2 linked regions of the Rhinolophus ferrumequinum genome follow. The main gene of each other region encodes a partner of the protein of the gene in region 2 in a complex. Links are inferred from orthologs where the notes say so. Each region holds a gene or a part of one and is shown on either strand. Other genes may lie near its edges.

Region 1 (7,620 bases), on a different chromosome or scaffold from region 2:
AAGTGCAAGTCCAGAGAAACAAACAAGAGGACCGCTCTTTTATGGAAGGGCTGTTGTAAACAGTCCAGTGGAGGAAACTGAAAGTTCGAAGTATAGTGACTTTTCACTGACTGAATTATGGCAGGCAGTCTCCTAGTGGTTGAGCTGTTACTGGACAAGGAGAAATCTTCCTTCTTCTGAGGTAGTAATGTAGTATCGCTTCCTGTTGAAGATGCAAGGTAAGTCTCTTCCTGTTGGGATCAGTAGTGTGTGTTGGGTGACATGTGTGAGTTCTCTCTTCTAGCTTCCTGAGGTTTGTGTTTATTAATTTTCACACAACTCACCTTTCCAAAGTGTACAATTCAGTGGGTTTTAGTATATTCACAGAATACGTAGTTTCAGAATACTTTCAGCACCCCCAGAAAGAAACCCCATAGTCCTTAGCAGTCACCATTCTCCCCTCCCCCTACCCCCTGGCAACCACTAATCTACTTTCTATGGCTACAGATTGCCTGTTCTGGACATTTCACATGTGACTAACTGGCTTCTTTCACTTAGTATGTTTTCAAGGTTCATCCATATTGTAGCATATTATCAGTATGCAATATTGTGATTTATAAGAAATATGTATGTGGTCATTTGGATGAATGGGCTATGGAAGAAACCTTAGAGGATATTACAGCAGTAACTCAAACTCAACTTTTCAAACTGAAGTAATGATGAGTCACTGTAATCTGATCCTCTTTATTTTCATGTTATTTCCTATCCCTACATGTATTCAACAAACACTCAACAAATTTAATGAGTGCCCACTAGGTACTAGACAACCCCCTTCCATCCAGTTGCCCAAGCCTAAAACCTGGGAAATCATCCTAGACCACTTTCTCATTCCCTACATCTAATTGATATTAAGTCTATCTCAACTAATCCCCTCCATCTCCACTTTACTGCCTTAGTTCAGGCCACGAATCCTTGTCAGCTGGATCCCAGCAAAAATTTCCTGGGATTTCTCTACCTCTGATTGCTCTCTCCCCTTCTATTTGCCCTCCACAGGGCTCCAGAGATATTTATAAAACACGACTTTGATTATGTTTCTCCCCTGCTTAAAAAAAGCCTTGCAAGACTCCCCACTGTCTTCAGTAAATCCAAATTCCTGTGGAAGAACAAGGTTTGATGTTGTGTTTTGATATGAACCTGCAATCCTTTATTTTAAGCAGTCTGCAAGGAGAAAGCTAGACCCAAAGAGTATGTAGTTTTATGACTACCAAGAGTCTCTCAAGAGAACCTATACAATATGTATATTAGCAAGTTACTAATCAAAAATCTGGTGTGTTAATTGATAGCTTAGGTGAAAAAATTCAATTTCATATATTGAATTTATTATATAGATTAAAGAACAATTGCAAAAAAAATAAAAAAATAAAAAAAGAACAATTGCAATGTACTATAACATATGTGTTATCAGCTTTGTGGTCATCATTTGCTTTGTAGTTAAAAGAAACATTTCTATGAGATTAAACTAAAACTTTGTCATTAAACATATATAAAGGTACTCTTTATTACTTTTTAGTAGTTTATGATAACAAGAGACAGAACGTATCATAATTAAACTTAAATATGACATTGGCCCCACCTAGATAGTCTCCCTTTGTTTATTATGTTCTTGTGTCAACAGAACACATTCTCTAATCTTCTCTTTTCTTATTGAGAAGGAAAATAACTAGCACAAGAGTACTGCAAATTTCCAATGTACTTGTTTCAACAAGATTATTTACTCCCAAGGCTTCTCATGAAATATTAACATGATCAATATTTTATTTTAATTTAACCCAAGCAGAATAAAAATGGAAGATGAATAATTTTTATTTCCATACTCCTTAGCTTGGCATGCAATGCTCTGGCCATGGCTTGCAGTTTCCTGAAAGTGCCATGCCACTTACACTTGTGTGACTGTGGTCCCTGTGCCAATCTTATTCAAGTCTTCAGGAAAATGCTGGTGCCCAAAAACACTTGCATTATAAATGCATCTATAACACTTCATTACACTTTGTGATTTGTGTCTATTGCCCCTACTGGACTATAACTTTCTCAGAAGCAGAAATCATGTCATTAATTTTTTTCTCTCCAGAGCCCAGCTAAGTGCCCAACACAAATGTTCATTAATTGTGGAATAAGTGAATGAGTTAAAAGATGACTGAAAGAACCATATCTTTACAGAATAGATAATCTTTTCACATGCTAAAAACATCCATAATAACAATAGGAGTTGCACTGGAAGGGAAGTCCATTGGGTAAGAGTCTAAGTTTGCAAAGAACTTAGGGAGAGAGACCTAGGGCTGATAGATTACTTAAAGAGGATGCTCGTAGACATAAGTAGTAAATGTAAAGAGGATGGTAAAAAGTGTAAGACTTGAAGGACAAAGGGGTTTTGCACCTACTAAGTGGATGAAGCACAAGGGGAAACCAACTGAATGGCAATACTGCCTCTTAGTGGCACTTGGGATAAAAGCCTCTATAGCAGAGCACTTTTACAGAATAGCTTTCTCACATTGAGTGGTTCTGGGCCAAGAATTCTGCTAGGCACCTCTTATTTTATCTCATTTAACCCTCACAACAACCCCTTGTAGACACACAGTATGTAGCTTGGGGGTTAAACTCTGGAGCCAAGCTGTCTGACTTTCCTACTTACTACCGTGTTTCCCCGAAAAATAAGCCCTAACCGGAAAATAAGCCCTGGCATGATTTTTCAGGATGACATCCCCTGAACATAAGCCCATATGCGTCTTTTGGAGCAAAAATTAATATAAGACCCAGTCTTAATTTCTGGGGAACATGGTAGCTGTGTGACCTTGGACAGATTACTTCAGTTCTCTGCATATTTCCCTATCTGTAAAATAGGGATAATATTTGTACCTACCACACAGGGTTCTTATGAGGAATAAATTCTTAAAATGGTACTTGACAGCATAATAAATGTTAGCCTTTATTATTCCTTTTTTCCTGATGAGAAAATTAATGTTAAATAAATCGAGCATACCGTAGTAATTCAATTAATATAACTTCCTTTGCTTTCTCCCCTTATGTTTTAGCTCTTTAAGGTGTTATTCTCCGTAGTGTTCCTGAAACTTAAATAGGGGACTCCCAAATAGCACAAAGAAGTCAGTTCTTAAAGGCAGCAATGAGGAAGTTGAGAAACCTCCTTTAAAAAGTCCAAGGGGATGTGGTTCTGGAAAAGAGAGCTCTACAGGGCCCTCTTGTTAGTTTTATTATAGTGAAGACCTTCCCAGCAATGAAATTCACCTTACCTAAAACAGGATGCATAGGGATTGTGAAAATCAACTAAGATTTGTGCAGGAAGCCAGATTTCTGGGAATATTCAAAATAAGTGTGATCTGCCCAGAGCCCATCTTTTACCATGTTGCCCATAGGAGCTGAGGGACTATAATCATTTTCAAGAATAGGCTAATAATAACTTACTACAGACTATTCTCTCCTTGCTCTCCTACTATTATTGTAAAAACAAAATTCATGAAAATGATGGGTTTCAAGTGACACAATACGAATGGGATTACTATCAGACTGTCCATCCCACTCCACACTTGCAATGAGGTGTATCTTTACCAGGTAAGACTGACTGACAGATCTGTACATCAATAGCAAACAGGCTCCTTTCATACTTGCAAAGCTCCCATGATTCTGTAAGCTACCTCTAATTCAAATTTTAGTATTCCTGGGTGTTCTATTTGAGAGACTGAATATACAAACAATGGCCAGACCATATATAAAAACAGAACACTGACCCACAACCTGCAAAAGCCTACCCAGAAAACCAACTGCTTTATCTATAATAAACAGCCCAGGAAGCCAGCTTGCTATAAATCAGACCGCTGTCTCTAGTGATAGTCCAGAAAGCCAAACAATAACCTCTGTAACAACTGGTCCCAAATGGCCAGCACTTGATTAATAACTAGCAGCTTCTCTAATTTTTGTCCCCACTTCCAACTTAGGGCCAAACGGAGAAGGTCAAATATGAACCCCTAACCAAATCTCATGGACGCCCTGCTGCTAGTTAGACCACCTACAGCTTCCCCAAGCAAACAGTCTTGAACTAGGTCACACCTGAAACCTTTCCCTTTTTCTGCCGTAAAGCTTTCCCACTCCTATGCCTGCCTTTGAGTCTTCTGCCAAAACGCAAGTGACGGTGGCTGACTCCCTTGCTATATAACAAACTCTGAATAAATACCCTTTGCTTTTCTCATTTGATGAGAAATATTTCTACATAGTAATGGACCTAGTAATACCATGAAGAAATAAATTCCAAACCCTCTTAAAAAGATACCGGTTTACACTGTTTAAATGTGTTATTTCTAAAACATTCAAAATTAGCGAACATCGTTTATACTTCATCTTCATATGCTCAAGAGTTCATCTTTCCACAGATCTTCGTGGAATCGGCGCAGCCTCCTTTGGCCCACCTGAGCAGTGGACCCTCAGTCGGAGAGGGTGAGCAGAGACCCCCGGGAGAGCCTCCCGCGCCAAGCTTTTAAATCCCCAATTGGGAACTACAATTCCCAGTGACCCCTGCAGACGATGGGTCACGGCCACGTTGCGCCTGCGCAGTGTCGAAAGCGCCGGCTGTGCGGTTCCCGCCAATTCTTGCGGTAATCCTGCCGGGGCTGAGTACTGTGCTCCATGGAGGCGTTTGATCCCGCGGAGCTGCCGGAGCTGCTTAAGCTTTATTACCGGAGGCTTTTTCCCTACTCCCAGTACTATCGCTGGCTCAACTATGGCGGAGGTGATGGAGGCGGGTAGCGGAATGAGTAGTAGGTCGGGAGGGGAATATGAAGAGGGTACTTTGGAATGACAATATGAAGTGCCTTCTGCGCGCCAGCCTTTGGGCAGGGCTCCTTCACTTATTATCTCTAGCCCTCCCCACCACCTCTGAGGTTTAAATGGGCCAAGAGAGGATATAATGACCAGGCCACACGTTGAAAGACAGAGCCGTTGCTCCTACCACTACGTGGTCGGACACATTTGGTGTCTGGTGTACCTGACTGGTCGTAGGATGAAGCTGCAGAGGCGTGATCTGCATCAGGGACCGAAGGGTATCTCCGAGAGGGAAAGAGGTACTTAACTCTTCGCTGCTGAATTTATTACTGCCCACCGAGGAGAGAGGTGGCATTACATATTTATTTCTGCATCTTTTTTCTCATTTTTTACCTTTCCCTCTGAGATGCCCTGTAGTAAGCCCCTTCAAATGAGGGACTACATTTTTTTTTTTCATGTAGCACAGTGTTGGGCACAGAGGGCTCATTAAAAATATCTTCTCATCGGTTAATGTTATGATGCCCTGAGCTGAATGAAGTACCAAATTAACTTTAAAATGTACGTTTATTTTGCAGTAATAAAGAATTACTTTCAACACCGTGAATTTTCATTCACGTTGAAAGATGATATTTACATTCGCTACCAATCCTTCAACAACCAGAATGATCTGGAAAAGGAGATGCAGAAAATGAATCCATATAAGATTGATATAGGCGCGGTATATTCTCACAGAGTAAGAAATCGTTTTGTTATGTATTTTGTTTTGTTTTGTTACACCAAGAACCCCTAGCGTTTTGAGACAAAATTTTTAGAGTTTATTCTCGTTGAAGAGCCACAGTTTATTTAACTGTTTTATTTAACTGTTTTGCAAGTAGATTGTAATATTTTTTATTCTTGGACACTCTACATTACCGACTAGAAATCATTGAATTGGCTGTATTCTCACGAAATCAGTGAATTGGTTGTATTCTCACTAAGACAAAAAAAAAATGAGTATCTGGATAAAAGACTAAATGAGGAAGTCATCATGATTTAAGGGCAGGGAATTGAAAGAAAATTACATTCTCCCAGCATTGGAGTTATTCTTTATTCCTGTCCTACTCCTATATCTGTTCTATTAGGAAATCTCTACCATAATAATATCTACAATCCAACCACTGCTCCCAGTGCTACTACCATCATCATCACCTCTCATCTGAATTACTGGAAAAACTTCCTAACAATTTGCTTCTATAGACTCTAGAGCCTATTTTCTCAAAACAGCAGTCAGAATGATCCTTTTAAAACAAGTCAGATTCTGTGATTCCTGTGCTCAAAACCATTCTCCAGTGGCTCCCCATTTCACTCAAAGTAAAAGCCCCTCACCCCCTCACTCACTCCGCTCCTGCCACATTGGCCCTTGTTCAAGCAGTTTCACTTCCTAGAACCCATTTCCCTAGATATCTTGGTTCATTCCCTCACCTCCTTACAGTCCTTACTCAGAGAGGCCTACTGCAACCGCCACTCCTACCCCCAGCCACTGATACAGTCTTAGTGCCTAGAATAGTGCTTGGCAGAGAGAGTACACCATAAATATTTGTTGAATGAATGAACGTACCAAAATTGCCCTTTTTCCTCTCCTTAAAGATGTACACGAGATAATAGCTTTTGTGTGGAGCTTTTTCATGTGTTATATAACTGGTTTTTCATATCAATTCTCTATTCATTTTACAAAGAGGAAACAAGTTTGGAGAGCTTAATTTGCCTTAGGTCACACAATTTCTAAATGATAGACCTAGCACCTGAACCAGGTTTTTTGACTCTAAATCCCCGGGGAAGGGGAAAAAGAGATAAGAAAAAGCAGGCAGGAAAAATCCTTTGGAGCAGTTTACTGGTCTTTAGAGGTGAATATTAAAACTGAAGTCTCTAGAAAGGCCAGGGTGTCACTCTACTCCTCCCCAACACTGGGAAATGCCTCACTTTTTTACTGGGCCAAGCCAGAGGTATCTATAGACCTTTCTCTTTTTGTATTTTGTTTGTGATTTTTATGAGTTATGTATGCACATAATTTACAAAATCAAGTATGTCTATTCATTGGGCTTTTTACTTAAAAAAAAAAGTTCTCTTACTCTTCCTCGTTTCTGCTCCCCAGAGGCAATCGCTTTTGTTTAGCTGATTCTTACCCAGAGGCAATCACTTTCTTTTAGCTGATTCTTCAGGTATTTGTCTCCTTGTCTTTAAATAACGTGCTTATATGTCTTCTGTTTTTCCATTTCAAGCATTATCTACTGACTTTCCATTCTAGCAGATGTGGATTTAGCTTTATTTTTAACCTTATCCCTACCCTCACCTCACATACAACCTTCCCATTCCCATGCTCCTGTTTGTTCGATTAAAAATTAGGGTTAGATCACAAATTCAACCCCAAACTCTTTGCCAGTTGTCTAACTCTTCCTGATTTAGACACCCATCAAGTAGTTTGTAAATCTAATTCTGAAGGAATTTCTCCCCTTCCGATTACCAAACTGGACTGATTGCTTTTTAAGTCTGATGGGTAAGTACAGTATGATCTTATAATCATCTTGGTTTCTTTTCACCTCTCTATGATCCCCAGTTGCCCAGATCCTACGTTCTCTTTTTTGGTTTACTCTTTTGTTTTGGTGGAGCACATTTTCCGGGAGCTTCCTGAGAAAGGGCATATGGAAGACAAAATATTTCATACTTTCTGCATCTGGAAAATGTCTTCATTCTACCTTTATGCTTAACTAATGGTTTGTAAATCATTTTCCTTGAGAATTTTAGAGATTGCTACATTATCTTGTTTCCAGTGTTGTT
Region 2 (6,946 bases):
CATCATATAAACAGGGTGCCATATAAAAGGTCAGAACATGATACTGAGGAAATGTAGAAAAGAGAGCTGTTAATTTTGCCTGGGAAATCAGGGAAGGCTTCACAGGAAAGGTTTCCAACACAGACCCAGGAAGAGGAGTAGAATTTCAGAGTACAGGGTAAAAAGTGGCACAAGCAGAAGAAAAGGTATGAGCCAGATTACAATGGCCAGATTAAAATGACAAAAAGGCAAGGTGTATTCAGAAACTGAGAGAAAGTCAGTGTGGAAGGTAAGATATGATGACAGTGTAGAATGAGTGGGAGAATGAGGTTAGGGAGAAGAGCACAAGACAGCTCTGCCACTTACTGGGTGACAATGAGAACACCAGTTAACCTCTCTGAGCTGCAGTGGCCAGCTGTCTTCTTGTTTTAAGCTGTCCAGCATCTGAACTTGTTTGTGAAATTTCCCCCTTAGAAGTCTGATGGGACACAAAGCCCATGTCCTATTACAGAAGCTGAAAAGGGAACCGCTGTTTCCCAGACACCCTCACAGCTAGGGCATGGGCATATAAAATAGGCTCTACCAATAGGAACGTCTGCTCAGACTTGAAGTTGGAAGCTAGTGTCACAAGGAAAAGGGCGGGCTGAGGGAAGATTCTAGAAGTAGCAACAGCTGCAAGAGGATTAAGTACCTGGGGCAACAGTGCCAGCAATGTTAACTACAGCTATAACCTCAAGTACTTGGCTATGGTTGGCAATGACCTCCTCACTGAACCAGTTTTGTGGCAGGATTTTAATCACTATTCCTGGCTGAGCAGCCACCAGCTGGCTCTCCCGTCCTCCTAGAGTTTCTGTGAACAACACAATATCCTTCTAGTAAATTCCTTTTCTGTTTAAATCAGCTAGAGTTGGTTCCTATAGCTAGAGGATCCTCAAGGTCCTCATCTGTGAAATGGGGATAATCAGGTCCGCTTCAGCAACATAAGAGAAGCTAATTTAATGTGTGTGTAGATACAGGGTACACGTGTACACACACACACACACACCCTAGTAGTACTGTGGTCTAGCTTCTAGAAAGCAAATAAAGCAAAGCAGCTTTCTCAGGGAAGCACCAATATAACACTGCATATAATTCCTATCTTAGCTCCATGAAGACAAAAAGCATGTCCATCTTACTTACCATTGTAACACCAGAGCCTGGCAGAATGCCTACGCCTAGCAGGTACCTAATAAATATTTGCTGAATGAACCACTGTACCTGCTTTATTTAATCATTAAATTCTCCCTGATCTTGTTTCATATATAATAACAGCAAGTTATAATAAGACCTTTCAACTTTTCACTGCCACTGTCAAGGTACCCCCACCCTCTAATACTTAAGGAGGAAAAATGGCCTAGATTTTCCTTTTTTGGAATATGCTTCACATAGGTAAGTTAGCAAAAAAGAAGAAGCATGAAAAAATCAACTTACAAAAGTTTAAATATTTGGTTCAAAATTACCATCTGGAGTAGCCCCATTGGTTGGGAGCTGGAAAGGAGCAGACCAACACTACCAGGCAGCAACAATCTTTCAGGTAACAATCTTTCAGTCTGCTCTAAAGAAAAAATTCCAGTCACAACTCCCCAGCAACACTTAATCAACACCATGACTTAAGAGGGGTCTCAAGATTGCACGGTATCCTCCAAAGAGTGATTTCTTGATGCTCACAGATGTCATACAGTTTTTAGGGTGAAGAAACGGCTCAGTGGCAAATCAGGGCTGCAAAGACTGTTCACATACTCACATCCTACATCCCATTTGTAATCCACGCTAGTCGATTCTCCAAAATAAATTGTCTTAAAAAACGCAAGGCTAGAAGAACAAATTGAAATCTGATTCACAACTAGGTGAATGTAAAGAAAGCTGATTAGGAAGAAAGTTCTCATTAATGGTGAGGTATTTGAGTGACAGGAAATGTGACACTTGAGCAAAAAAGCGCAGCATGATTTTAAGTTAGAAGTTTGATGAAGTTAAGTCACACTTTAGTTGAACGCTGTTCAAAAAATCAGAAATCAGACAAAGCCATTTGCGTGTTTTGTATTCTATTTTTGGAAATAAAAGATTACCACTGAAAACGGAGTGATACAGGGCATCCAAAATGCTGCTGAACTGATGCATTTTTTCAGAAGCCTCACCAGAAATGACTAGATTGTGAACACTATTTCTGTGCAATACTTGAAGAACTTTCCATAGAATTTGAAAGAAAATTGTTAATGCATAAAGTAGAAACCAAGTACCTAAAAAGACAAATTGCAAAAAAAATAAAAATGAAAAATTGCATTTGTATCTTCTGGCTACAGCACTTGAGCTTTCTTTTCTGCTTAGTTACAACATAAAACAATTTTCCAGGCAGTTTCTATAAAAGGGATGGCGTACTTCTGTCCTAGCCCTCAAGCATACTTGGGGCGGCAATATGAAATACTTTCGGCCAAGACTGTACCCCGCGGGGGCCAGTCTCGATATAGGTGTGCCCAGCACGTGGGACGCGATAAACCAAAAGGAATAAAAAGAAAGGCACGCTAGTGTGGAGACCCAGAGTGACAGAGGTGACGGAACGTCCCAGACAAAAAGCCCCGCAGTGGGGTTGCCAGGAGCAAAGGGCCCTGCAAGGAAGCCCCATCTGACGCCAGTACGTCCAGCTCTGGAAGACCAAGGTCCGCGCCCAAGAACACCCGCAGGGCGATTCGGCAGAGCGCCTAAGGAAAAATAAAACAGAGACCCACCCTCGAGTCCCCACACCTGCAATCACTCCACAGTCCCCGACCCCACATTCCCAACCCGACCCCGAGCACCCCCAGCTCACAGTCATCGCCGTGCACGGGCGCCATGGTCCCGGAGTCTCCCGATTCCGCGCCAACCAGCCCAAAACTGGCGCGGGGGCCGAGACAGGCGCCAGCCTGAAAGCCAATCAGCGGCTCCGAAGGCTGCGGACTTCCGTCCGGAAGGCCACTGACGTGTAGCGCCGCGTCGTGCCCCGCCCTCGGCCTTCCCGCGGGCGCGCGTTTCGCGCCGTGTGATTAACCCTAAGGGAAAAGCACCAGCTGAGCGGAGGCCGAAGGGAACAGGAAAAAGAAGCGGTCGGGCGCTGGAAAGGGGCCTTCTGGAGACTCGCTGCGCAGGCGCACCTGTGCTGATGGGAAAAGATTTGAGTGCGTTGGAGTAGGGGCTCTTTGGTTCTGAGAGATGATTTGCCGGGAAAAGAGATGCGGGCTGGCAGTAGGCTGGACGTGGTTGGACCGGTTTCCCAGGACCCTGGGAAAGCGACTGCATCCTGCAGCACAGAGTCTGGCCTGATACTGTGTCAGAGTGTGGACACAGTCGCTGTATAATACATATATTATAGATAGATAGATACAGATATAGATAGATATCCAAAAAAGTATACATATTTTAAGACAGGAAAAAAGCTGTATTAAAATTGTAGTACTCAATACACACCGGTAACAAAAGATGAAAACAAGTCACGTTTGACTTCTGCAATTACAAGAGGTACTCAATTATCGTAATTTTAACAGTTTTTTCCTTTCTTAAAATGTGTATACATTTTTTTGGCACCCTCTTTATATACATATATACCAGGGGTGCCAATATATATATACACATTTTAAGAGATGTTATCTATGCTCAAGCAGAAGTTCGCTGTAATCAGAAGTGTCTGGACACTGATGGTAACCACTGTGAGCACCTCTTGTAATTGCAGAAGTCAAACGTGATTTGTATTCATCTTTTGTTAACAATATATATTGAGTATTACAATTAATATAGTTTTTTTTCCTTTCTTAAAGTGTGTATACATTTTTTTGGCACCCTCTACACACACACACACACACACACACACACACACACACTGACCACATAAAGCTATATGCACCATACTAACCAAATGACCAAAAGTAGCATCACCAATCAATAAGGGGCAATCATATACCTCTTGATGTGATGCACTTAGAAAAAGGAACATCACCTATATAGTCTTCGTGCAAAAAAATGTTTAACCTGAACCTACCTACCCATGAAGACATGAGATGTATTCAAAGTGTAGGACTATCTATAAAACATCTGGCCTGTACTCCTGCAAAAGTCAATGTTATGAAAGACAAAAAGGGTGTTAGATTCTTGTACATAGTACAAAGCATGCAATGTATGCGTCTCATTTATTGTTTAACAAACAATAAGAACAGAGACATCGGTATGTATATCTTAACTAAAGAACACGTATTAAACCAAGAACTTAAAGTGAGAACCATCTGAGTACCATTTTATGTAGAATTAATTTTAGCCGTGGAGGCCAATGCATCTGAACCCTTTTCTCAAACCCACTAGTGCATAATGCTTTTGGCTCCATACCCCTAGAGAGCAATATTAGATCCATGCCCTCAAGTGATTCATCATGAATTATAGACCAATGGGCAAATCTTTTGTGATAACTGAGCCCTGGATCATAGCAAAAATATGCAATGTCATAGTGAATAAAACTTGCCCCAAAGACAAGTAGCTATACTAATGCTTCAGAACCTACTCAACCAGCTGCATGAACTAACACTTGGGAATGGAAAACCAGAATTCATCTGGGAATTATTAAAGGTATTGGAGCAAAGTTAAGAATTATGAGCTAGAACATCAATCATATAGTCAATCAATAGTGAATTTTAGCAGAGGATGGCAGCATGAGGATTTCTTACTTTATCCTTAAAGTTTATAAAGTTTACAGTAGTAGTTTATAGGCCTTAAAGTTTATAAAGTTTACAGTAGTAGTTTTATAAGGTTAGAACATTGATTCTCAACTTTGACTACAAATTAGAATTATCTGAGCAGTTTTTCAAAGTTTCCAGTGCCCTTCCGGACCTATTAAATCAGAATTTCTGATGATGGGATTCCAATGTGCAGCCAAAGTCTAGAACAAAGAGTCTAGACAAGGTATTGCTAAACCTTAGAATCATCAGCAGGATGCATAACCCAGACATAAATATCCAGTCGAACAATATGTGGTCACATATGCCTGGACACATCTTTTTTCATCAGGAAGGAGAGCTCATCTCCCACCTATTCTAAAGACTTTCACTCTATAATGTCTTAGAGCATTTAGTACTGTGTCTTCCTATGAATGGGATGATATCTGGGTTACCTAAAAGACACTTATGTAAGGCCAGCAGTACTTTAAAAGATCATCCTGGAAACAAAAGGTGTTCAAAAGTGGGGGAGGGGAGCATATCTCCTAGATCACACATTACTAGCTAGGTAAGCCTGCTGAAAAGTTATGTATGTGTGTATAAATCTGAGGCTTTCCAAAACATATATGTTATTCTTAGATCAAAAACAAAGGTTATGTCTTAATTGATCTTTACTTTCATTTGCCTCGATTGGCATAATCAATGGCTAGCTACACATGATGACTCACTATGTTATATCTATTTGTACCTCTTTAATACATTGAGTATGTTTCTAAAAATTCATGTTAATATTTGTTTGTTTTTTTATATGTTGTAGTCTGCCTTACATTTTCAATTAAGCTTTTAATTTTGAGATAGTTGTAAATTCACATTCAGTTATGAGAAATAATACAGAAAAATCCCATGTATCCTTTACCCAGTATCTCCCAATGGTAACATCTTGCAAAACTATAGTACCATATCACAACCAGGACATTGACATGGATACAGTCAAGATACAGTACACTTCCATCTCTAAGGATCCCTTATGTTGCCCTTATACAGTCACACCTGCTCCCCTCCTGCTCAACCCTCTACCCCCACCCCATCCTTAACCATTGGCAACCACTAATCTGTTCTCCATTTCTGTAATTTTGTGAACAGGTCTTTGTATGGACATGTTTCATTTCTCTGGGGTAAATACTTAGGAGTGGAATTGCTGTGTCATGAGGTAAGTATATGTCTAACTTTAAAATAAACTGCCAAACTGTTTTTCCAAAGTGACTGTGTGCAATTTTACATTCCCACCAGCAGAGTATGAGAGATTCAGTTGTTCTGCATCCTCGGCAGCACTAGCAGTTTTTATTATCTCTTGCACTTCCCTGATGATTAATGATGTTGAGTCTTTTTAGTGACTATTGGCCATTTGCAACTGTTTTTCTGCATTTGTTCTTTGTTTCTCTCAGTTCTACTTCTCTGGTTTGGTTTTTATGAAGCATTTTATATTATTACATTTTATCTCCTCTTGGCATATCATTTATACTTCTTTCTTAAAAACTTTTTAATGATTTACCTAGAGTTTACAATATACATTGAAAAATAATCTAAGTCCACCTCCAGATAACATTGTACTGCTTCATGTGTGGTGCAGGTACCTTATAACTGAGTATTCCCAATTCCTTCCTCTCATCCCTTGTGACATTGCTGTCATTCATTTTACTTATCCATACACTATAATCACCCAATACGTTTTTACTGCTTTGTTTCCAACAAAGCTATCTTCATAAGAAGAAAAAAATTATTTTACTTTCATATATACCTTCTCTGATGCTCTTCTTTATGTAGATCCCAGTTTCTGACCTGTATCATTTTCCTTCTGCCTGAAGAACTTCTTTTAACATTTCTTACAGGGCATGTCTCCTGGCAGTGAAATCTCTCAGTCTTTGTCTGAGAAAGTTTTTATTTCACCTTCACTGTATTTGTGTGTGTGTGTGTGTGTGTGCGTGCACACATATGTGCACGCACATGTGTGCGTACATTTTAACAGCTTTTTTTAAAAAAACCATTCGTATAATGAGAAGTTATTTGAAAGCTGCTCTTTAAAAGAAAAAATGTGAATGCATAGTAAACAGCATTTAATTTGCTACAGTGGAATAATCTCTCAAGAATGGTAATAATCTAAAACAGTGAAAAAAATTCACAATCATTAAACAGGCCTCCATCTTTTGATATTAAATAAATGGACAAGATCTAAACAACACTAAATAATGAAAAAGTTT

What was found. Proteins that work in one complex are often made in the same cells at the same time.
Region 1: the proteins of POLA1 (region 2) and PRIM1 are in contact, whole or in part, in a cryo-EM structure (PDB 7OPL), measured with the Homo sapiens proteins. The link is inferred for Rhinolophus ferrumequinum from reciprocal best matches to the Homo sapiens genes POLA1 and PRIM1. Residues at the interface, in NP_058633.2 of Homo sapiens: Tyr439, Ala440, Pro447, Glu448, Lys449, Ser450, Phe876, Thr877, Thr878, Gln880, Leu906; in NP_000937.1 of Homo sapiens: Asn92, Thr93, Val94, Lys95, Leu96, Gly97, Ala98.

The regions. Positions count from the first base shown.
Region 1 is NC_046293.1:55,924,773-55,932,392, reverse strand, and holds the start of PRIM1 (DNA primase small subunit), read left to right. Parts: upstream 1-4,606; 5' UTR 4,607-4,671; coding exon 4,672-4,774; intron 4,775-5,381; coding exon 5,382-5,539; intron 5,540-7,620. UniProt on the Homo sapiens protein: Catalytic subunit of the DNA primase complex and component of the DNA polymerase alpha complex (also known as the alpha DNA polymerase-primase complex - primosome/replisome) which play an essential role in the initiation of DNA synthesis.
Region 2 is NC_046284.1:107,388,193-107,395,138, forward strand, and holds the start of POLA1 (DNA polymerase alpha catalytic subunit), read right to left. Parts: upstream 3,004-6,946; 5' UTR 2,847-3,003; coding exon 2,822-2,846; intron 1-2,821. UniProt on the Homo sapiens protein: Catalytic subunit of the DNA polymerase alpha complex (also known as the alpha DNA polymerase-primase complex) which plays an essential role in the initiation of DNA synthesis.